Linked DNA regions of Alligator mississippiensis. The main gene of each other region encodes a partner of the protein of the gene in region 2 in a complex. Links are inferred from orthologs where the notes say so. Each region holds a gene or a part of one and is shown on either strand. Other genes may lie near its edges. The genes, in order: MYH9, S100A4 and ANXA2.

Evidence for each region.
Region 1: the proteins of S100A4 (region 2) and MYH9 are in contact, whole or in part, in an NMR structure (PDB 2LNK), measured with the Homo sapiens proteins. The link is inferred for Alligator mississippiensis from reciprocal best matches to the Homo sapiens genes S100A4 and MYH9. Residues at the interface, in NP_002952.1 of Homo sapiens: Leu38, Ser44, Phe45, Leu46, Gly47, Lys48, Arg49, Thr50, Asp51, Ala54, Phe55, Lys57, Leu58, Asn61, Leu62, Ser64, Gln73, Glu74, Cys76, Val77, Phe78, Ser80, Cys81, Ile82, Met84, Met85, Cys86, Glu88, Phe89, Phe90; in NP_002464.1 of Homo sapiens: Thr1906, Ala1909, Met1910, Glu1913, Val1914, Ser1915, Leu1917, Lys1918, Lys1920, Leu1921, Arg1922, Asp1925, Leu1926, Pro1927, Phe1928, Val1929, Val1930, Pro1931, Arg1932, Met1934, Ala1935.
Region 3: the proteins of S100A4 (region 2) and ANXA2 are in contact, whole or in part, in a crystal structure (PDB 5LPU), measured with the Homo sapiens proteins. The link is inferred for Alligator mississippiensis from reciprocal best matches to the Homo sapiens genes S100A4 and ANXA2. Residues at the interface, in NP_002952.1 of Homo sapiens: Lys35, Leu38, Pro43, Ser44, Phe45, Leu46, Gly47, Lys48, Arg49, Thr50, Asp51, Ala54, Phe55, Lys57, Leu58, Asn61, Leu62, Gln73, Phe78, Cys81, Ile82, Met84, Met85, Glu88, Phe89, Phe93; in NP_001002857.1 of Homo sapiens: Leu13, Glu14, Pro21, Ser22, Ala23, Tyr24, Ser26, Val27, Lys28, Tyr30, Thr31, Asn32, Phe33, Glu36, Arg37, Leu40, Thr44, Gln69, Asp70, Phe73, Arg77, Arg78.

Annotation. Positions count from the first base shown.
Region 1 is NC_081827.1:100,992,224-100,999,718, reverse strand, and holds the start of MYH9 (myosin-9), read right to left. Parts: upstream 3,083-7,495; 5' UTR 2,972-3,082; intron 1-2,971. UniProt on the Homo sapiens protein: Cellular myosin that appears to play a role in cytokinesis, cell shape, and specialized functions such as secretion and capping. Required for cortical actin clearance prior to oocyte exocytosis. Promotes cell motility in conjunction with S100A4.
Region 2 is NC_081838.1:13,253,408-13,260,571, reverse strand, and holds S100A4 (protein S100-A4), read right to left. Parts: upstream 2,338-7,164; 5' UTR 2,231-2,337; intron 1,300-2,230; 5' UTR 1,286-1,299; coding exon 1,145-1,285; intron 812-1,144; coding exon 647-811; 3' UTR 533-646; downstream 1-532. UniProt on the Homo sapiens protein: Calcium-binding protein that plays a role in various cellular processes including motility, angiogenesis, cell differentiation, apoptosis, and autophagy.
Region 3 is NC_081834.1:33,976,742-33,983,685, reverse strand, and holds the start of ANXA2 (annexin A2), read right to left. Parts: upstream 3,068-6,944; 5' UTR 2,969-3,067; intron 1-2,968. UniProt on the Homo sapiens protein: Calcium-regulated membrane-binding protein whose affinity for calcium is greatly enhanced by anionic phospholipids. It binds two calcium ions with high affinity. May be involved in heat-stress response.

The DNA.
Region 1 (7,495 bases), on a different chromosome or scaffold from region 2:
TTTTTTTTTTTTTTTTTTTAAATAAATAACACCAGCCAAACTAACTCTTAAGATGGCACATAGATGACTCTACTGTCTGAAATATGGAGCCCTCCCCAAAACAACACTGTGGACAAATAATTTCTTGGCCTTTTCATTAGTTAAATAATGCTGCTTTATAATTTAAGTTTAGGTACAACACTGCATTCTCTTCCACTCATTTGAGGATAGGCAATCAGTGCAATTTCTGACTGTTCCTCCCTCTTGTCCTAAGGAATAAAAGTGTTAAACTGGAAAGGATCTAGGCTTTTTTAGAGGATTGACTCGAGACAGGAAGTGAGCAAAAGATTACTCCTACTGACAAGCTATACAACACTGCTGTAATAAGCAGCAGTCAGATCCTCTGAAGCAAGAGAAAAAAATCATCAGTCATCCTATTTATAATGAATAGGTGTGTGTTGTGTGGCCAGGCAAATTTAAGCATGACTCCTCTTCTCTAGAAAACTTCAATATCATCATCTCCTCGCAAGATATCAAGGAAGATAATATGCTACACAAAAAACAGAACTTTGTACTGGCCATGCCCAGTCTGAAGGGTACAGACATTTCATAGATGTTAATTTGGCATCTCTACTCAGTAGAGATTTGCTAATCTACACCTGCCTTCACAGAAGTACTGAAAGTTTTAACCAAGTCCATCCTACGACAGAAGAAAGTTTTCTGTGTGTAGTGCCAACCTTCGACTATGCACAGCATTACTTGATGGATGACTTCAAGCAGGCATCAGGGACAGACATACAATTACAGACAGCTTCAGGAGATGAGGAACTTGATAGAATGACAAGCAAATTGTACTGCCACCTCCAAAACAATTTATAGACAGTTTCATGTGGCAGAACAACAGACAGTACCCTATGCCTACTAGGGCTCTCAGTTATCCTGAAATTCAAAGCTCTTAAATACTAAAAGAGCCCCATTCACCTGTACTCATTAGCTCCTTCTCCTCCACCCAAAGGTGCCTTTAAGCACCCCACTTGGCAGAAGCATTTATCTCATGTTATCCATATACTAGATTCAAGTGCTACTGCTCCAGACAGGGAGGGTAAGTCAATACAGGTCTGCACCAAGGGTTACAGCTTTCACTAGCACGATCCAGATAAGTGAACTTAGTCACCAGGTAGCTTGTGACTAAGTCAGAAAGCATCTTTATAGAGCCAGCAACTGTTTACCTTGCTGTTCCCTTTGTCACTACCTATACTTAGGAGAAAATGTATTTAAAGAGACAAATAGTGCTCACGAGGCATGTTTCAAGTTAACAATTACAGCTCACTAAGCCCCACACCTTTAAGCAAATGAGCCTGTATGTTTTGCCACAGAAGGGCAGGGGCATCATGACCTGTGGGCTTGGCCCTTTTCAGTGATAAGAGGTTCAGCTTTCCAGCACAAATCATGCGTTACTGCATGCAATGACTTCAACAAGCTGTTCGGGTACAGGGCTGCTCTGGAAAGAGCCTAGGCTCTGCCCCCCACTACCTCTGATGAGGCACAGCTCAGGAAGTTAGGACAAGGGGAAGAAAAGCTCGAGGAGAAGGAAAGCCGTGCAGATAAAGCACAAAGTTCATTCGGCAAGGGAAGACATACCAAGAAAAGCAGAGCTCAGCAGCCACCGGGACAGCTGCCTCTGGACCAACATATCAAAACTGCAGTGCGTTATACAGAATGTGGCACTGCTTTAAGCGTGGTATCTTTTACTGGACTAACTAATGTCGCTGGGATACAGTTATAGACAAGCTTTCAAACGCAAGACTTTCTTCCTCGGGTGACCCAAGGAAAAGTGTCTTGCATTCAAAAGCTTATCTAACTCTTGGCTAACAGGTGACTCATCTAACTCCCATCTAACAAATGACCTGATGAAAAATGTCTTGCATTCAAAAGCTTGAATATCTCTATCTCAGCTACATAAGTTGGTCCAATTAAAAAATAAAATAAAATAAAATAAAATAAAAATCACCCAATGAAACCTTCACCTCTTGCCTAAATACTGGACCATCACGGCTACAACATCCCTCTTACACTCTCATTCAAGACGTGTCCAGGCAGATGAGGAGAACCCCCCATTAACGACATGCTGGGTACAAATCCACCACCCACTGGGGCTGGGAAGTTCCCCAACTTTTTTCTCCTCCCGGAGGACAGGCTGGTAACAAGGCTGTGAGAAGCTAGACTCCTCTTGCATCTGCTGGAGCAGCAGAGGTGGATGAAAGCCCAGGGATCTGCCAGATTTTGTACTGCAAGCTTCATCTTGCCCCGTCACTCCCTTCCCTCCTCCCGGCTCGCTCTACCTCTTTCCTGGCTCGACTGTACAGAACAAACCGAATGAGGAAGTCAAGATCTGAGGGCGGAAGCCAAGCCCATAGCAATGTCTGCTGCAGAATTGTTGGCCTGTGACTCAGGCTGGAACCCTGACAGCTGCCAAACGGGCCTTTTTTTCACCCCCTCTCTCCCTTAACCCCCCCCCCAATTACTTCCAAGAAGAGGGGCAACAGGCAAGGATGGGGCAGGGGGAAGGGACCAGCAGCTCCTTTGCACCAATAGCTGGACGCCTTCAAAGCAAGGGGGCTCCATCACATGGGCAGCTGCCCTCTCCCTCCTCCCCTGGTCCTGGGAGCCCAGTCCAGCTGCAGCCTGCTTGGCTATGGAGGACACAAGGAGGAGCAGCCCCTGGATGCACTTCAAGTGGAAAAAAAAAGGAGATCACAAGGAGGGATCACAGCGCCTAGGGATGCACCCCCAAGGAAGCCTGCTCTGGGCCCTGCACACAGAGGAGGGCAGAGGGCACCAGGCAGCACCAGCATGGCCCTGGGGGAAATCAATGGGCTCCCGCCCGCCTCAACCGCAGCCCGGCACTGCTGGCGCCAACCATAAAAATCAATAAAAGGATTCGCGTGTTTCCGGGGCCCGCCCGCGCCGCGCCGCGCCGCCCGGGGGTCACCTGAGTCCGGCGATCGGCAGGGGAAAGCCGCGGCGGCGGCGGCTGCTTCTGGCCAGGAAGGGACTCGTTCTCGGCGTCCGCCTGCCTGCCTCGCACACACCGGCACTGCGAGGTTTCAAGCCGGGTGGAGCCGCCGCGGCCCGAGGAACACGCCCCGCCCATTGCTCCCGCGACAGCCAATGAGAGCGCCCGCTGTCCCCTTCCGCAGCCAATCAGGCCAGGCAGGGCGAGGCACTCGCTTTTTGTAACCCGCCCAACCCCGGTTTGGCCTGGCCCCGCCCCTTTCCCCTCGCAGATTAACAGGCAGAGCAGCCAATGGGGAGCGGAGAACCTAGCAGGGGCAGTTCCGGGCGGGGGGGAAGAGGCAGCAAGTGCGCCCTGCCCCACAATGCCCCGCGCGGGCCCTAGTCTGCCACAGTTCCCTGCGCTGCGCGGGGGCTCCTCCCCCAGCCCCAGGGGCCAGGACGGGGTGCAGGCTCCTGCCCTGGCGCTTCGCCTTGGGCAGCCCCACGCCCAGCGCCTTGCAAGTACCCCGAGTCCTATGAAATACGAACTTTCATTTCTACCCAGGAGAACTTTTACACTCTTTCCTCCCATGCCTGATGAAGGGTGTTTGTGCCCGAAAGCTTGCAATTAAAGAATTTTTTTTGCAAAAATCTTGTTGGTCTAATAAAAGATATCACCTCTGTCCACAAGCCTTGGTTAGGCAGCATCTAATTCACCAGCTCTGTCCATCTCAGCTGGGAGGTTTCATAGTCATAGAAAATGAGGGTTAGCAGGGACCTCTGGGGGCATCTAGTCCAACCCCCTGCTCCAAGCAGGACCAGCCCCAACTAGATCATCCCAGCCAAGGCTTTGTCTAGCTGGGTCTTGAAAACCTCCAAGGATGGAGAGAATCTACAACCTCTCTGGTTAATGGGGGTTTTACTTCCTTCCTAATGATAAAATTCTTCCCAATATCTAACCTAAATTTCCTTTGCTGCAACTTGAGACCATTGCTCCTTGGTCTGTCACCTGCCACCACTGAAAACATTGAACCCCGCTTCAGGTAGTTGAAGGCTGTTATTAAGTCCTCTCTGTCTTCTCTTCTCTAGACTTAAATAAATCCAGTTCCCTCAGTCTTTCCTCATAACTCATGTCCCCCAAGCCACTCACCATTTTTGTTGCCCTCCATTGGCCTCTCTCCAATTTGTCCACATTTGCAGCCTCCCGTGCATTTTGCAGCACTGGGTCCATTCCCAGTCCTGTGTGGAGCTTGCCAAATCATGCATCCAAAAAAAGGGAGGGAAAGCAGCACCTGATATGTCTCACAAGAGCCATCTTTCTGCACAATGAACAAGCAGGAAAGGGCATGTTTTCTTGGCTTTGCAACTTTCTTTTCCGAAGCAACAATGTTTGAAAACGGCAAAGGCAGCAAACACAAGACACCAGGCATGTAGATGGATGAAAGTGAAACGAAGCAGTCAGCATCTCCTGCGTCCATGCACAAAACACAAGCAACAACCATCTTGACTTGCCTGTGCTTGGAGGGCTGGGATATGGGAGAGAGGAGAGGAAACGTGATATGGTAACTAAGATGAGAACCAAGAAAGGATGGTGAAGCATTCCTGAAGAGGGTACTACAGAAGCCTAGGTACTTAAGATTTAATTTTTCGGGTTAGTATAATGTGTAAGTGTCTGGCACGTGTGACGTGACATAACAGATGCAAAAATAAAGAGGTCCCTTTCACTTAGTAAGTAACTCAAATGTTAAGTCGGCAGATTTGTAGGAACAGACAACGAAAAGAGTCCAGAGCTGGAGGCAATGTCAAAGGTACCAACAGAAAAGACAAAGAAGAAAGTCTTCAACTGAAAAAGGAATTAAGAGAGATGAAGAAGATACATTTGAGCAAGCATCTCTTGCCCAACTTCCATCCCAGAAAGATTGCTTTGGAGGAATTTGTAAACCAAGCTGCAAGTTTACACGGTCAAGACATGAAGGGTGGTGCGAGAGAAGTCCTGAAAGGCAGTGACAGATATGCACCGCTTAGTATCAGGGGTATATTACTGGTATTGTAAAAGATAGAGATGAATGAAAAGAATGTAAATAGTAATTCTAAGAGTGCTGAGAAATAAAATTTTGGGGGGGAGGAAGGGAGAGAAGAGGGGAAGTGCTCCATACAGGACATATCTTGATGTGGAAAAATGGTTACTTCCAGAGATAAAGAATTGCCAAGGAGGTTGGAGTGGAATCATGACAAGAAAGAACCAGGCACATCTGCATAACCAATGGCAGTGATGTTTCAAGAAGGAGAAAGGTTACAGATGCAGGACAGCTTCTTCTCAAATAGACTGCCTCCATCTTGACTGAGCAAATAGAGATTAGAGAGAGAGAAGTAGTTAATCAAGATTAAAACAAAGTTTTTGCAGAGTTGGAAAGTAGCAGATTTTAGAGAACTGGAGAAGGCAGACAAAGTTATTCACAATGGTAGCCATGTAGTCAGCAGAGGTGTGTTGTTACTATTATCAAACAGTAAGAAATTAAAGGATGACAAAAGGTAGTGCTTTAGGGACTGGATAATGCTACTAACAGCATCCCTCAAAGTCTTCTACCAATCTTATATTTTCATGTGCTGAACTGCACTTCCTAGGAATCAGGTTATGTCATTATTTTTCTTAGGTAATTGTTTATTTAGGAATCTGAGAACTTGATTCTCTTTCCATTACATGAAACAAAATCTCTTCATTGACTTCAGTGGGGAAGTATCAGAACTCAACTAGAAACCATCATTGCTGTAATTGTGCTCTCTTCCCTCCTGGAAAAATGTCTCCTCTCTTCTTAACTGGTCTCTAAAACTAAATGTTTCTATGTGTGAGCTAAAAGAAGCTATTTAAATTTGAAATGGTTGTTTTCTTTGCTTGGCTGATTGATAGCACCCTATGATGAAAGCCGGTAAGATTTCTGATTGTTGTACTACTGTACAGAGGCTTTTCTTGGTTTGGACCAGAAAATAATTCCCAGGATGGAGGAGGCATACCTAAGAAAGTGGGTATGATCAAATTGTTTCCCTGAGGCCCTGTTTCAAAAGATCATAACATTTCTATTCAATCCCTCCAACCAATTCCAGTCACCTTGTACATGCTGGACACAGTATGTATGCCCCATTTGAAACAATTAATTTGCACTTGTCTTTATTTGCATTCCAAGTCATTACCTCTTCCATTAGCTGGCACCCAAAAGCACCCTTTTCTCCAGATAGTCACCATCCATGATTGTGGAATTCTCCAGGAAAACTTCCCTTCAGATGAGCATCCAGAATTTTATAACATTTCCTGTCCAATTACTTGGCTTCTAAGACACCTGCACCGGGATGATTGCCAAAAAGCAATCTCCTCCCACCCATGTCCATATCCAGGTCTCGCAAAGTGCATGCTGTACATTTTGAAATGCAGTCATATCATATATACAAGATTTCCTGCCTAATATAGTGAACATAATCTAATCTTCCATACTATGAACTGTCAGGAGACATTATAGGCTTACTTCTTATTCTATTGGAGTATTGCTTTGTAGAGAAAATAGAAATACTCTTCCACCTTCATCCAAAATGAAGTGCCAACTCAGAGAAAAAAAAGTTACACTTTGCAAGATTAATTTTGATTTACATTTACTTGCTGACAGGTCTGGCTCTAGAGATGCAGTGTTCTGGAAAAGTGTTCTATGCAGTTACCAAGCAGTTCCACTGGATCTGTGGAAGTCTATGACTGTGCTCTGGATCAGTCAGTACTCATATATCAGAGATTTTCAATCTTTTTAGACTTGAGGCACCCCTTGGAAGATGCCAGCTCTTAGTTTTCACTTCTTTTTTTTTGACTACAGAAAAATAATACAGCAGTTTTCTGTTGCAAAGAACTCAGAAAAACCACAACTATGAATTTCTATGTGAAATCCCTGGATTTATTGTGTGAATCATATTTATAAACCAAATATCGCTAACATTGCATGGCACCCTGCAATATCCTTGAAAAGATCTTTAGGCACCCCAAGTTGCTGTGGCATCCTAGCTGAAAAAACACTAGTATATATAATGAATCAAGCATGCTCTGTACATATATTGTAGTAGGCAAGATATCTTGATTGATTTAATGTGCAGGGCCAGGCATGTAATTTGCTGGCTCAGATAAGTTAAACATATCTTCCTCCCCAAGCCTCCATATGCTGAATTAACTCAATTTCTGTTGCCCATGTTTTAAGAACCCTGGGAAGAAGCAGGAGGATTTAATTTCCAAGCCTGTCTCCAACAACTACAATTATTTGAAATCATAAAACTTCTTTCCTAGTACTTTGCAAATGGGATTTTTGTTGTACATTTTGCAAAATACATTTGTATTTCTAGCAAAGAAATTATAGAATGAAAAGAGGAAGGTTGCAAGATGTTTACCTCACAGGGGAAGGTATATTGCCAAACTAACCACACAGTGACTGTTCAGAAACCACATGTGCAAAAGATCTGCTGACTGTCACAACACAGTAGTGGTAAGAAA
Region 2 (7,164 bases):
GGGTTTGCTGTGGGGGGCTGCTGGGACTGTCCAAGCCCCGTCATGCAGCAGCCATGGCTCCATCCGGTGGAGTTGGACCACAGGCACTGCTGCCTCTCTGTGGGTGACCCCAGGGCCACACAGCCAGCTGCCCTGGAGTGCTGTGGCCCAGCCCCTCACCCTGGTCTTGGGACCCCATGGTCACTGAGCTGTGGGGAAGGGGCTGCAGCAGGCTCTGGCTCTGCAATAAACTCACCCAGGTAGGAAAGGACTTATGGGGTCACCTGCCAAGATGGATCCCCCTGGAGCGGGGTAGAGCCTAGGAGGAGCTCCCCTTGCTGCCAGCAGTTGAGGGCTGCTATCCTGGAGTTGGAAGGAGCAAAGCCCCCGACCCCGGTTTGCTGCACTTTTCCCTGCGCCTGGATCAGACCCCTGCTCTTTTGGGCAAAGCTGGCAGAAACCCTTGAAGACCCCACAGGGAACTTTACCCACCCCTACGACTCCATGTGCAACACAGTCCGGGAACCAGTTACACAGTCGAAGACACACACGGGACTCTGGAAGTGACTTTATTGCACGGGCTCTCAACGGGCTCTCGAGGCAGTGGTGAGCAATGCAGCGGGGGTCCCAGGAGGAACCCACGCAGGACAGCCCAGGCCCAGGGCAATCACTTCCTCCGTGGCATCTTGTCGGGGCAGCCCTCAAAGATGTCGTTGCACATCATGGCAGCGCAGGCCAGGAAGGTGGCATACTCCTGGAAGTCCACCTCGTTGTCGCGGTTGCTATCCAGGTTGCTCAGCATCTTCTGGAAGCTGGCATCATCCGTCTTTTTCTGCCAGGGGGAAGGAGGTGGGAGCAGGGTTCAGCCTAGCCCAGAAATGCTCTGCACCCCTCCTGCAGCTCAGGGCATCACCCACCTCCCTCCACCCCATCATCCGCGTGTACCCGCCCCAGGCAGAACTGTTTGGGACAGGACGTGGGCACCTCCTGCCCCCCTCCCCTCTTCAAAGGGGCAGAATAGATTTATCTGAGAATAAATCCCAGAGCAGGAACCGAGCCCCCTCTGCAAGAGGCCACTGGACCCCTTCACAGGGGCAGACAGGTCTCCTGTGCCCAGGTCCCAGCACCGCCCCCAGTGCCTGGGGGTCCCAGTCCCCCCACTCACACTGATGAAGCTGGGCAGCTCCTTCAGCATCAGGTCCTTGAGCTCTGCCTTGTTGAGCTTCAACTTGTCGCCTTCCTTCCCCGAGTACTTGTGGAAGGTGGAGACAATCACTTGCAGTGCCTGCTCCAAGGGATGCGCCATGGCAGATCTGGGAGCTAGAGACGTGGGGAGGGGGCTGCTTAGAGCACGGCCCGAAGCACAGAGCTCCCTACCAAGCTGGGACCAGCTGGCCCAGGGGTTAAGGGTGCAGGGACGGAAGCAGATTTGAATATATTTGAGTGCCTTTGCATAGGAGGAGCACAGGCAAGGTACCCGGGTCCTGTCTTTTGTGGTGTGCCCAGCTCTCCCAGCATCCCCACCAAGCCCTCCGGTCACAGACCCTTCACCCAGGCCCATGGGACAAGTGCTAAGTGCCTATAGCCTGGCCCTGCCCAGCATCCCCAGAGGGAGGGCCCCCACCTGCTAATTGCACCAAGGCAGGAGGATGTGTCACTGTTTCCTGCCTGCTCCCAAGCCTCCCCTGAGGTCATGTTGGCAGCGCAGATGGGCGTTGGTAGCCAGCGCCAACTGCAATGACAGCCCAGGGGCTGGAGGCTTAGCAGGAGCACAGCTGGAGGGACCGAGCGATGACAGCCTGAGGGCTGGGGGCTTAGCAGAAGAATGGCTGTGGGGGGCAAGCAATGACAGCCTGGGGGCTGGGAGCATAATGGGAATACAACGGGGGGCACAAGTACTGCAGACCCCAGCCAGGCTGCTGCATAAGCCCAGACTCCAGAGGAGGCATCACCCTTTGCGTGGGTCCGGGGAGGCCCTTTGCAGCCCTGGCTGTGTCAGAGCAGAGCCCCAGACCTCCACTAACCCCAAAACTGCCTGGATGCAGAGGGCAGCTCTGAGACCCAGGCTAAGTGGGGAACCCGTGGCCGCCTTCACCACCCCAGCTCAGGATCATGTACATCTGCTGCAGCAAAGGCAGCGCCCCCTTCTCCCAAACCGCAGGGCTGGCTGTGTCCCCAGCCCCCCATGCACAAACCACCAGCAGCTGGAGCAGCTGAAGCCCCAAGCATCTCAATAAAACAAACCACTTACCAAGGCAGCGAGGCAGGAAATAGGCTGACAGATGCTGGCCGGACAAGCGGCTGAGCAAAAACCCTCAGTATTTATAGTCAGCGTACATGACTGGGGACACCCCCTCCGGCTCTGGAAATTAAAGCAAGGCCAATGAGCGGAGGAGCACCCAAACGTCCTGGCAGGCATTGGCTACAAGGGGCTGGGGAGCCCTGGGCCCCATGTCCTGCCCTCCCCTCAGGCCCAATTTTGGGCAGAGAAGAATGGGCGGATGCAGCCACTGCCCCGGTGGGTGCAAGGGGCACCGACTGGCACCGGGCCATGGGGTGTATCTGCAGGGGAGGGAGTGGAACAGCCTGGACAAGAGCAGGAAACAAAATGAGGGACGAACTGGGGGAGTCAGAGCTTAATGAGTCTTTGCAATCCCTGGTGGGAGAGAGGAGGGGGGGGCGGGGGGGATGAGCATGGGGTGGATGAACACATGCATGGACATGGGACAAGGCAGCGTGGGATGGCTGCTCAGGTGAGTCAATGGCCATCATCTGAGATCTCCCTTACCCCTCTCTGTCTAAAGCACCCCAAATTGGATAAACCTGCCATGTGTCCAGGTGGCTCCAGTCCACAGCCATACTCCTGCCTGCCCCCCCCCCTCCCCCCACACTTTGCCCCGAGATGCTTCAGGGAGAAAGGGCCCAGGAAGCATGAAACAGTGACAAGGGCTTCATCAAGCCAAGGCATCTATTCACGCGTCACCTACCCTGGTCACGCAGGGGAGGAAACCCTAGGACAGCTCAATCACAGCTGCATAGGAAATGCCTGCCCTACCCGGCACGGCCTGATCATGGACACGCATTTGCTCCGAGGGTTAATCCCAGCGAGCATGAAGCGATGGGAAGCATCCGCAGCTCCATGACGCACAGTGCCCGAGCTGCTGTTTCGGAGTGTTTTTCATTTTTTTTAACTGAAATTGGAGGCAGCTGCCTTGCGTTTCATAATGGTGGGAGGGCGGTGCCGCTGAGTTGTGTAACCAGATGCTGGTCTGGCCTGGGCTGTATTCTTCCACTAAGTGTCATAGGCCCCACGGTCCCGGTCACGTGCCAGAGCATCCCCCTGAGCTGGGTGGACCAGGCCAGTGGGGTTGGAGCAGGGGATACAGGCTTGATGCCCTGCCAAAGCCTGGGAAGGTCACATCCCTGCAGCAGGGAAGTCCCCACAGCAAGCCACACGGGGACCACCAAGTCTTGCCCACCCAGGCTTGTCTTTGCCATTAGCCCCATAGGCAGGTCTCTGGGGTCAAACCCTGATGGTGTCCACACTGGCCCAGCATGACCTTAATCTGCATCCTCCTTCCTGCAATGTGGCCAGCTCAGAGCATAGGTGCAAGCCAGGATGAGGCGAAGTTGCAATGCTTGGAGATGCCCCGGGTGGATCAGAGGCCACAGGGCAAACTGCAGGCATGAAAGCAAAGCTGCTGCAACCTGGAGGCATCTCCCAGCACCCCAGCATCCTTGGAGCCTGGGTCAAGGCAAACTCCAGAGCCAGGGGCAGGCAGGATCTCCCAGGAGACAGGGCTGGGAATGGGCCCAGAGCTGTACCAGCTCTGCAAGGCTAGCAGGGAAAGAGTTGGCTCCAGGCCTGATTACCCTGGGGGCACAGGGCTTGGTTGGCATGGAACTGGCTGCTAAGCTAGCCCAGAGCCAGGACCCTGGACGGCTCAGCCCCTCTGCCACAGGGGCCATGCGAAGCCTCTGCTGCCAGGGAGAGAAGAGGCATGGACCCTACATGAGATGGGAGGCCCTCAGCTCTCCTGGGCTGCAAGCCCAGACATGGGTGCCCGATGCTGGAGCATCTTGGGGAGTGCCAGGCTCTGCACCCCGACCCCCCTGCTCCAGGAAGGAGAGTGCAGAGCGCTGTCAGCTGCCACCTCCCTGAGAAAGGACCCAGGACCCACAGGGCAGGGCAGCCCAGATGCCCTCCCCCAGTCACACCTGGGCCTGGCTTGGTCTTAATGGGTTCAACCTGTGCAGAGGAGGTGGCAAGCCCTGCTGCCTCCTGGAACAGCCCCACTCAGCCCCATGCAGGCTGTGACTCACATGGAGCTGAGGAGGGAGGTTTCCGGGTAGGGGAAAGTCCTGCTGCTTCCGGCTGGAGGAGAGTGGGAGGAGGGCGTGGAGCTGGGCCAAGGCCTTGTGGGTACAGGGATCTGAGCTGCAAGGGCTCGGGGGTTGCTCAGAAGCAAAAGGGACTAGACCCCTGACTCCCTGGGAGGGGTCTGGGAGTGCATGGCTGCAAAGGCAGTGCCCAGCACCATGCCGTGGGGCTGGGGTCAGTGTCACCACCTCCCAGCTGGAGACCCCAGGTCCTGGCAGCAGTGCCGGTGGGCAGTGGGGATCCCGCTGCATGCCAGCTCGAGGGTCCCCATCCCCCAGCTCACCCATGCAGGGGTCCTCCCAGCTCACACCCTGCACAGCTGGAGGGGGCTCTGCACAGCTGGCTCCAGCCTGGCAGGTCCCAACACCCCCCAGCCAGCTGCAAACCCTGACATGCAATTAAATAAAAGTTGAGTGGGGAGGATGCCGCCATGCAGAAGGGAAGCGAGCGGCAGGGGGGAGGGGGAGCAAGCAGCTGCTTCTCACTGCACAGCCAGGCCTGTGGAGACCTGAATGTCGGTGCAAGTGCAGCCCCATTCTGCCTGGGGACCATGGCTCAGCCCACCCTGCTCCCCAGCTCACAAGGCCCCAGGAACAAGCCTGGTCTCATCCAGCTGACAGCGCCGAGGATGCGCCTTCCCGCATCCTGCCAGAGTGGGGGGGCAGCAGTGGCAGGTCGCAGCACAATGGGGCAGGGGTCTGAGCCCCTGGGGCTGCCCAAAGGGAGTCTCTCCAAGCCCCTAGTAGCTCCAGGGGTCCTCATTGCTGGCCCCTTCTCGAACTGCCCAGAGCTGGGCCATGGCCACCTGCCCGTGTCAGGGTACCTGGGGGCATGGAGGTGGGGGGTACTGGTGCAGAGCATGGGGTGGGAGAACAGCCCATGAGCCCAGCACCAGGGGCTCAGAGCCACTGCGGTCATGGCAGGACAGCACGGACAGCTCTCGGCTAGGCCTGGGAACCAGGGCACCCGGTAGCAATATGCACCACATTCACCCGCTCCTGAACCCGAGTCCACATTGGCAGCTCTCCATCCTCACTGCAGGCCCTACCCACCCTTCCCCAGGATCTGAGCACCCAGGACCAGTTTGGCAGGCAGGGCCGCGCAGCTCTGAACCTGGGGGGAGGCACAATTGTTTGCTCCTGTCCTGTTTGCACTGGCAGGGACCGGATCGGCTGTTTGATTAGGGGGCAGAGCCCAGATGGCTCCCAGGGCTGAGGGATGAACCCAGGTTGCTGGGTCAGGAGAATGATCAGAGCTGGTGCAAGGGTGCCCCAGGCCCCAAGTGGGCTGGGGGGATTGCTCCTGCCCTGCAGCAACCCCAGAGATGGGATGGGAGCAGGTTTGCATCTCCATTTCCCAGGGAAGCCGTGGGATTTGCCCACCGCTCTGCCACAAGCAGGCTTAAGTTGCCAGTGCCCCCCCATCCCCAGGCCCAAGGGACCCCCTGCCCTGACCAAGCCCCCCTGCACCAGGGGAATCCAGCAGTTTGCAATGAGATCCAGGCCTGGACCCTGAGGTTCACCCCTAGCCCTGAGCCCTTCTGGGATGGGGGCGATGGATGGAGGATGCCCAGCTGCAAATGCCAAGGACCAGGCTGCAGGAGAGGCAGGACACCTTTCCACCCCCCTGCAGCCCTTTGCAAGCCAGGAGGGAGCTGAGAGCAGCAGTGCAATGCTGTTGGGGGGCTGGGGGCAGTTCCCCATCCCCAGGGGCTTCCAGCCACCAGGGTCAGTGCACAAATGGCAGCACCATCAGCGCATGCAGCGAGCAGCCAGGGGCAGGTCTCAGGGGTTCTCCCATCACAGCCCCATCCAGAGCTGTCCTATCCCTATCCCCATCCCCTGTCCCAGGTGAAACCATTCCCACAGCAGCAGGCAGGTGCGCCTGGGCGTGGGACACCACAGGGACATGTCTGCAGGGCAGATTTATCCATCCAGCTTGATGCTGTGGCAGGTGCTGCGAGCATCAGGCCTGGCCCACAGGCAATCAGAGCACAGGCAATCAGACCCGGACCCTGTAGAGGCAGCCCCAGCTGGGCAAGAAGGGGGGCTGAGAAGGGTTGGAGCAATGCAAGCAGGGGGAGGAGAGGGGTGCTGGGGCATCCTGGAAAGTAGCAGAGGGGCAGGGGTCAGTGGTCCTGCATCAGGAGCAGCCGGAGAGGCCCCAGGGTCTCGGAGACATGAAAGGGGAGGATGCTCAGCCTTGAAAATCGAGGCCCCTGTGAGCTCAGAGCCCCCAGCCCCATATGGGCAGGCAAGAGCGGGGGCCCAGACCACACGGTAAGCAATGCACTCACACATTTGTTCATAAGCAGTGCCCTTGCACATCCCCTGAGCACATCAAGCGCGCTCACAGGCTCACCATGCACAGGTAGCACACTGGCACACTCACCATGTACAGACAAGGCACTCGCACACTCACCGGGGACATGCAAGACACACACCCCTCCCCACCATCCAGCACCCGGCCCAAAGCCACTTCCTGCTTCCCAGCTTCTCTGGCATCAGCCCGTGGCACGGTGCCCAGAGCAGAGCGGGGCACGAGAGCCTGACTCATCCCTTGGCTCTGGGCTGCAGAGGGAGGTCCACCGACAAGCAGGGAGTGGCCGGGCTGGGGCAGGGTCTCCCTCCCTCCAGATGTGCCCTGCCCAAGGCTGGAACCTGCCAGCCATGCCCTGCTCCCAGGCCGCACCCGGACACCTGGGTCCCACAGGGAGTTTGCAAGGACCAAGCCCCGTACAGGCTGCCCTGGCACCCCAAAGAGCCCAAGAGAACCCCTCATCCAGCCACACCCACTCCCTATAC
Region 3 (6,944 bases), on a different chromosome or scaffold from region 2:
ACACACACACACACACACAGTGAACCCAGAGGTGTTGTTTACTTAATACTGCATACTTAGTGCACATGCACTTACACATGTTCTTCCTTACACTGAAAAGAGTTGGAGCTTCTACTTTAGAGTCTATAAACCAAGACCTCATACATCCACTCAAGCAAATTTATTTATTTCTAAAATTATCGTGTACCCTGAATTAAAATGTTATTAAAATAAAATAATAGCAAAAAAGAAGAGAAGAGATCTGTTACTCTTTGCTGAAAAGAGCAGTCGTTTAAATGCTTGCAGGTCAGATTCATAGATGTTAGGGGCTGGAAGGGACCTCACGAGGTCCAGCCCCGCTGCACTGGGCAGGAAAGACTGCTGGGGTCAGATGACCTCAGCAAGGTAAGCGTCCAGATGTTGCCACACTATACCTGGTTTCTCTTATCTCCACCCTCCTAACAGTCTACCTCCCTAGCTAGGCAGGTTTGCAATAGTGATGTGGATTTAGAAATGTCCTCAGGGTTCTCAAATCTTTGGTTCCTGTATGTGCCATGATAAAAGTGACAGATGCTGACTGCAGAAGCAGCAATGTTACACCTGGCAACCAGCACCTGAGCTCATCCTTTGTCCTAGCTTGATAAGAAGCATGTCTTCTGTGGGTGACAAGCGAGGATGTTTCCCGGCTTTTGGAAGGAGAAATGGAATCTGCAGGATGAGGAAATGGAAAGTTTAGTGAGGAACCCGGTCGGTTGTGCTGTCTTCCAACCAGAACAGGGTGTGGCAATGGAGCGCAGAGGTCAGGGGAAGAATGGGGAGGACCACCAAAAAGGAGAAGAAAGAGACCCTCCCTTCAAAATGAAACAAAGCCTTACTGTCATCACCGAAATACAGACAGACCAATCTGTGTCCATACTCTACTTTAAAGCTACGCAGGTCAAACAGAGCCGCTCTCTGCAACCCGAATTGACTGACTTTAAAAGAAAAAAAGATCTCGCAGACCACTGATAGCCATTATTTCTACACAGTACAGCAACATATATATTGTAAATTATTCGTTCTCATTACTAGACAACCCAGATGGGGGAAGAAATGTCACTCTGGCGCACATGCCAGAGTAACACACTAAAGGTGAGACTACTGATTTATATTTATAATAGGAGATTCCTAACACCAGTACTTGGCAGGGAAAACCTCCCGTGGGGGGAAAAAAAAAAAAAAAAACTGTTCCGTAAGCGAGCAACTGGAAAAACAAACTCACTGGAGCTGTTCTGCACAAAGAGACTCAGCAACAGAAGTGACATACAGGGGGGGAACTTCACTAGTGATTCAAGGAGGAAATCTTAGTCCTACCACAGAGCTACCCTGCAGCACCCACCTAGCAACAACATAAGCAGGCAGTGTCCAAACAAAAGGCTGACTGTAATCATTTTTTATAAAAGAAGAAATAGTTCTGCTGCACAGAACATTAAATTTAGGGAATTACACTGCTTCTTTTGCTCTTATTTCCATGTACTTATCAGAGTCCTGTGACATACAAATAGCTTTATGAATTTAGAAGTCTATCCCGCACGGATCTGTCCTGCGCGTGAGGACAACTCACTGCTGCAAAACACCTCCGAACCTTTCCAGTTAAGAACAGAGCAACATTTCTCTGTTTTCCTCTAATGGCAGGGCAGACCAAGCTGCATTCATCCTGTCTTTAGGGCAGGGGGTCCCAACCTTTTTCTTCCCTCCTAGCATGCTATAAGAACTCCACGGGCCACCTGTGCCACAATAACTACCCAGCTCCCCAGCCTTGCCTGTGTGGCCCCAGGGTGCAGAGGCAGGGCTTGGCGGCAGGAAGCCCAGGGGCCCCACTCACCTGGGCGCAGCAGCGCGGAGCCTCGCCCACCCGCCTGCAGCACTGCTGGCAAGAGAGGCTGTGGTGCGGGGCTGGGCGGGGCAGCCCTGCCCCTGCGCCTTCCTGGGGCCTCGCCTCAGCCCCAGGGCCCAAGGCGGCTCCTCCCTACGCTGGGCGGACCCCCTGCAACCTGGATGCACACCCCCAGTTGAGAAGCGCTGCCTCAGGGGTAACACCCAACAGGAAGCTGGACCTCAGCAACTCTGCAAAGGGGGGGGGGGGGGGGAGGCCAACAATACCCCAGGGCATGTTGTTTCTGCAGTGGGGCAAAACCAGCACAAGAGCAGCTGTGACACTTGGACCGGCAGTCTGCTATCCAAAAGGACCTCTCTGGGAGGCCTGCTGGCACCACACCCAAGGGGAGAGGGTGAGGGCCCCATCCTCAACAGTCCTGCCTGGTGCCCTTTTCCTCCGGCTGTCCACACCATTCATAGGGTGTCTTTAAGAGGCTCCTGTTACCCTAGGATGCTGGAAGGAGAGGGGATACAAACTCAAATCCAAAGCCCAGCTGATTGCCTAAAACAAGCCACGTGGCTTGGAAAACCGGGGTCAAAAAGTGGATCTTAACTAGGAGATAAACTCCTCGTGCTTTCGGGAGAGACCGGTCGTACTTGCACGGGGGCAGGGCGGGGGGCTTGTCCTCCACAGCGCTTTTCTTTTGGTAGGTTGGGACATATTCACCCTTTCATTAAGCCCCCACGTTACAGAGCCAGACCCCCACGCCACGGCAGCCTCAAGCCTTTTTCCCAGGAGGACCAGCTCCGCCCGCCGGCAGCCGGGCAGCCCGCGGCCGGAGCCGCGCGAGCAGCGCCCTCGAGAGAAGCGCCGGCGGCCCCGGGCGCCGCTGGAGCCGGGGCCGGGCCGGGCCGGGCGGGGCGGGGCGGGACACGCCCGGCCGCCGGCTCGCGACGCGAACCGTGGTGGCGGCGGGGCTGTTTGCTCTGCCCCGGGGAGTCACAGCCACAGCCGCCGCCGCCGCCTCACCTGGGCTCTCGTCCCCGGGTGCGCCCTGCAGCCCCGCCCGCCCCTCCCGGCCCGGGTGGCTGCAGGCGCGGAGCCCCGGGAGCGGCCGCGCCGCGCGCTTACCTGTGCGGCAGCAGCGGGCGGCGGCGGCTGCAGCGGGGCTCGGCGGGGCGCAGTGAGGGCGCGCGGCCGCCGGGGCGCGGTCTTTGTGCCGCGGCGCCCACAGCGCCGCCCCCGCCCCGCCCCGCCCCGCCTGACTCAGCCCCGCGGCTCCACGCTGGCCGCCACGCCCGGGCCTCTGCCGCCGCCGCTACGGCTGCCACAGCCTGCCCGGCCCTGCCCTGCCTCGCCCCGCACCGCACCCGGCACACAGCACCCCAGGCCCTCCCCCGCAACGGACGGGTCTCACAGGGCCCTTTTCAACGCTGCATCTCAGAGCACCCGGCAAAGGAGGCCAATGCCATTATCCCCCTTGCACAGGTGGGGAAACTGAGGCCCAGAGGCACTTGGCAAGGTGGCGGCTTGACTGCGGACACAATCCTGTGCCCCAGTCCGGTGCTCGGGCAGCTGGAAGCCAGCGGGTCTGCGCCAGGGTGCTGCTGCATCCTGGGGCACCTTGAGGGCCTTTCAAAGGAGTGCTAGGCACTGTGAGGTTGCAGAAGTGCTTCACGAGATAAACCCAGAGATTTCAAATAGGCATGGTCTTCTGGAGTTCTTGGCAACTGGCCTTTGCTCTGTTATTTTCCTGGATGCAAAAAGAGTGAAAACTAAGAGCTGACATTTTCTGAGTGTTGCCTTGGGTCTGTCCAGGGGTGCCTATAGTTTCAAAAGATTAAGAACCACTGCTATAGGCTAAATCCTGCTGCTCCCAGTCACTGATGTCCCTAGGACCATAATTAGGTCCATTATTTATAGAAAGAGCGTCATTCTCAAAAGGGGCTGCTAAGTAGTTATGTCTATGTAGTAATCTTAAGAAGTGGCTGCTGCTCGCACAGACATGCTCAGGTGTAGTTCAGGTATTCATGGAAATCTAGCTGTGGAAGCACAGACTTTGGCACAGGGGTGTGCCCAGGAGCCAGACCCAAACTTCAGCTCCGGAAGCTTGTCCCGCTGCAGCAGCTCCCTTCCTTCCTATCCCTACCCACCCACTCTCATTAGAGCAAAGCTAAGTTTCATCTATATTACACCCAAAGCCTATCTACAGTGCAGTCAAAGAAGTGAGATACCTGAGCTAGCTTTAAACTAGTTAGGCTTGGGTAGTGGCAGCAGTCTAGCTGCAGTGGCATGGAACCAGCATAAGATACCTTGCTTCTGTGATGGGAGGGTGCAGTATTTTGTTAGTTCTCAGAAGACTAAACTGTGCGTCACCCCTAGAGAACAGAAGAGATCAAAGCCCCTTCAATGGCAAGGAAGGGAAATGTCCAGATGATCCCAGCATGTGAAGTTTGCCCCTTGCAGCAGAAAACAAGTGAACACCAAAGCAAATCTGACCTGAGAGAAAAGCTTTCTACCTGAGCCTAAACTAGTGATCAGGATCACTCTAAGCATATGAGCCAGACAAGGTTTCTGGGTACCACCTAAGGACACTAGTCCACCCAATCTAGTATCACCAATCCAGTATCCACAGTTTAATGCTGCAGGGGAAGGCAAACTCATCCTCTGCCAGTGGAATATATCTAGTCAATAAAACACTCAGAAAAATCTTTCCTGACCCCTGCAAGCCATAAAGTCTGAGATTTGATTATAACCAGTAATCTAATGCAAAGCTGCAAAAATAATGCACATGCTAAGTGTATGTTAGCGTGGAAAAGATTTGCAGAACTGTATTTTTTAAAGAGGTGCAGAATGAGGGAAGTAATTTGACAAGTAGAGCAAAGAGCTGCAAACATAAGCAGCAGCACTGAGAAAGGCACAGAAATGATTGGAATAAGCAAGAACATGGAGAGCCTGTGCACAGAAGAATAGGCTTGGAAGTGAATAGGTAGCTGATAGGGTAAAATTACAGCAGAGATTCAATGCTCTATGGTACTGGGCCTTGAATATGGAATCTGGGCACTAGACATGGAAGGCAAGAAAGAATTAGCAAGGAACATGAAAAAAGGGAATGATGTAATGATGCATCAGGAGAGGAAAAAGTTTAGTAGCCAATTTTTGCGTACTCTAAAATGAGATGCAAAAAGTTTGACCACAGGAGCAGAAGAGTTTGAAATTACATTCCAATTTGTTACAAAAGATATAAAACTTCACACTGTTCTTTCATTAGAGTCAAACATATATTACTTTAATCTTCAAGAAGACAAAACCAAAGAGACGATGTAACATTCCCATGGCATTGTCTGAGCTACATTGATCAAACTTCACTTGTGGGTAGCCCCAGTCTTACCAGCACTCAGCATTTACCCTTCTGCTCCGTAGGTAATTCCACCTTGTATTAATTTTTCATGCTTCTTCAGAAAATTACTGAACATTTGGTAAGGTAACTTGTAAGTCAAAAAACACTTGCAGCCCTAGGGAAAACAGCATCTTCAGACTCTAATATTAATTAGGTGTGCAGAAGCCAGACAGATGACTTGCTTACTATTGGATACAAACTCCCTCAGGGATTCATCTCAGATAAACCTGTCCAAGTCCCTCTCCAGAATATACAGCAACATATACTTTTAATCCTAGGTGCATATCAAACACCTAAGCAATAGAAAAGTAACAACATAATAAGAGGGACATAAATAAAATTACATTAAAAATATTGCTTGACATCCCCTACCCCACCCCACCCCAACTAGTGCTAGTCACTGCAAATCTGCTGACTTAACGGGAGCTTGTGTCAGCCAAGGATCTGGTCATTATATATATAATAAAAGAATATTCCAACTTTTCGCAAGTCTATTGACATTGTCAAAACAACAGAGACTTGGGGAATCTAGCTCAGAAAGACAATTAGGGCACTATTAAATATTAAGAAATAAATACTGAAACTGCAGAAAAAATATGAATCCTATTTTGCTTCATTTATTAGTTTACAATATTTCCCTGGGATCAAAGACTTCCTCAAGACTTGAAATATGCAAGATTTTTTCAAGCAGCCAAAGAGTAGAATGAATGCCCAAGTCACCTTTGAAAACAAAACTAAAGCTCCAGAGACCTGATCCTGACCTAAAGTTTACAGGGCTTGTGCATGGTTTGCACAAGGGTCCATAATCCCACTCTGAACTGCTGCATAATCATAAACAATAATAACAGTAATAACAGTAATTATAATACTAAGACTGGGCAGTGGCTTGGCTTACTAGGAACCCTGGAAGCTGCTGTGCCTACTTGCCTCAAGTTTCTGTTTAGGAAAAAATGGGAAATGCATCATTCCAAGTGCAAGGCAGTGTTTACAAGACAGGGAAAGGAAATACAGGCAACCCTCACCGTTCGCGGAGGATATGTTCTCATGATCCCTGCAAATGGCAAAATCTGTGAATAAGGCACTGGTGGCTGGGGGTGGGGGGCATGGCTCCGGCGGTGACAGTGGTAGTGCAGCGGCGGGAGCCCGGTGGCAGCAAGCGCAGAGCTCCCGAGGAGCTCCTGTAAATGTGTAAAGTGTATTTAAAATGCAGGTTCAGCATTTGCAAATATTTGAAACCGCAAATGCTAAACCCGCAAATAATGAGGGTTTCCTGTATTGTTTTAGTTCTCACATTCCTTAATCTCTGGATTTTTTTTTATTTAAGGCAGCACAGTAGGTTAAATTTTTAGCCTCGTTTCACGGCAACCATTGTGGCTGCAATGTTCTCACTACTTGCAGTCTTCAGCTTCCCAGATGCCAACCACAGAAATCAAACAGAGAACACTTTTATCTACTTGGGTTCCCCAGAGCCTTTGTGCTACTTTCTGATTCTGCCTCTCTTTTAGTTTGCCCTGAATGCCATGATCTCTGCACAGTACAGTGTGTTCTTATCCCCATTTACCCTGTCTTCCCAACCTCCAGCCTTGCCAACTCCCCTATTGTTTAATTTGTCTGAAAATGGCATGTGATTTCTACTTCTTTCTTTCTTCTTTCAGGTGTTTTGTTATATTACTGAAAGACCAAGTCATTTTCAGTTTTAAGCTTCAC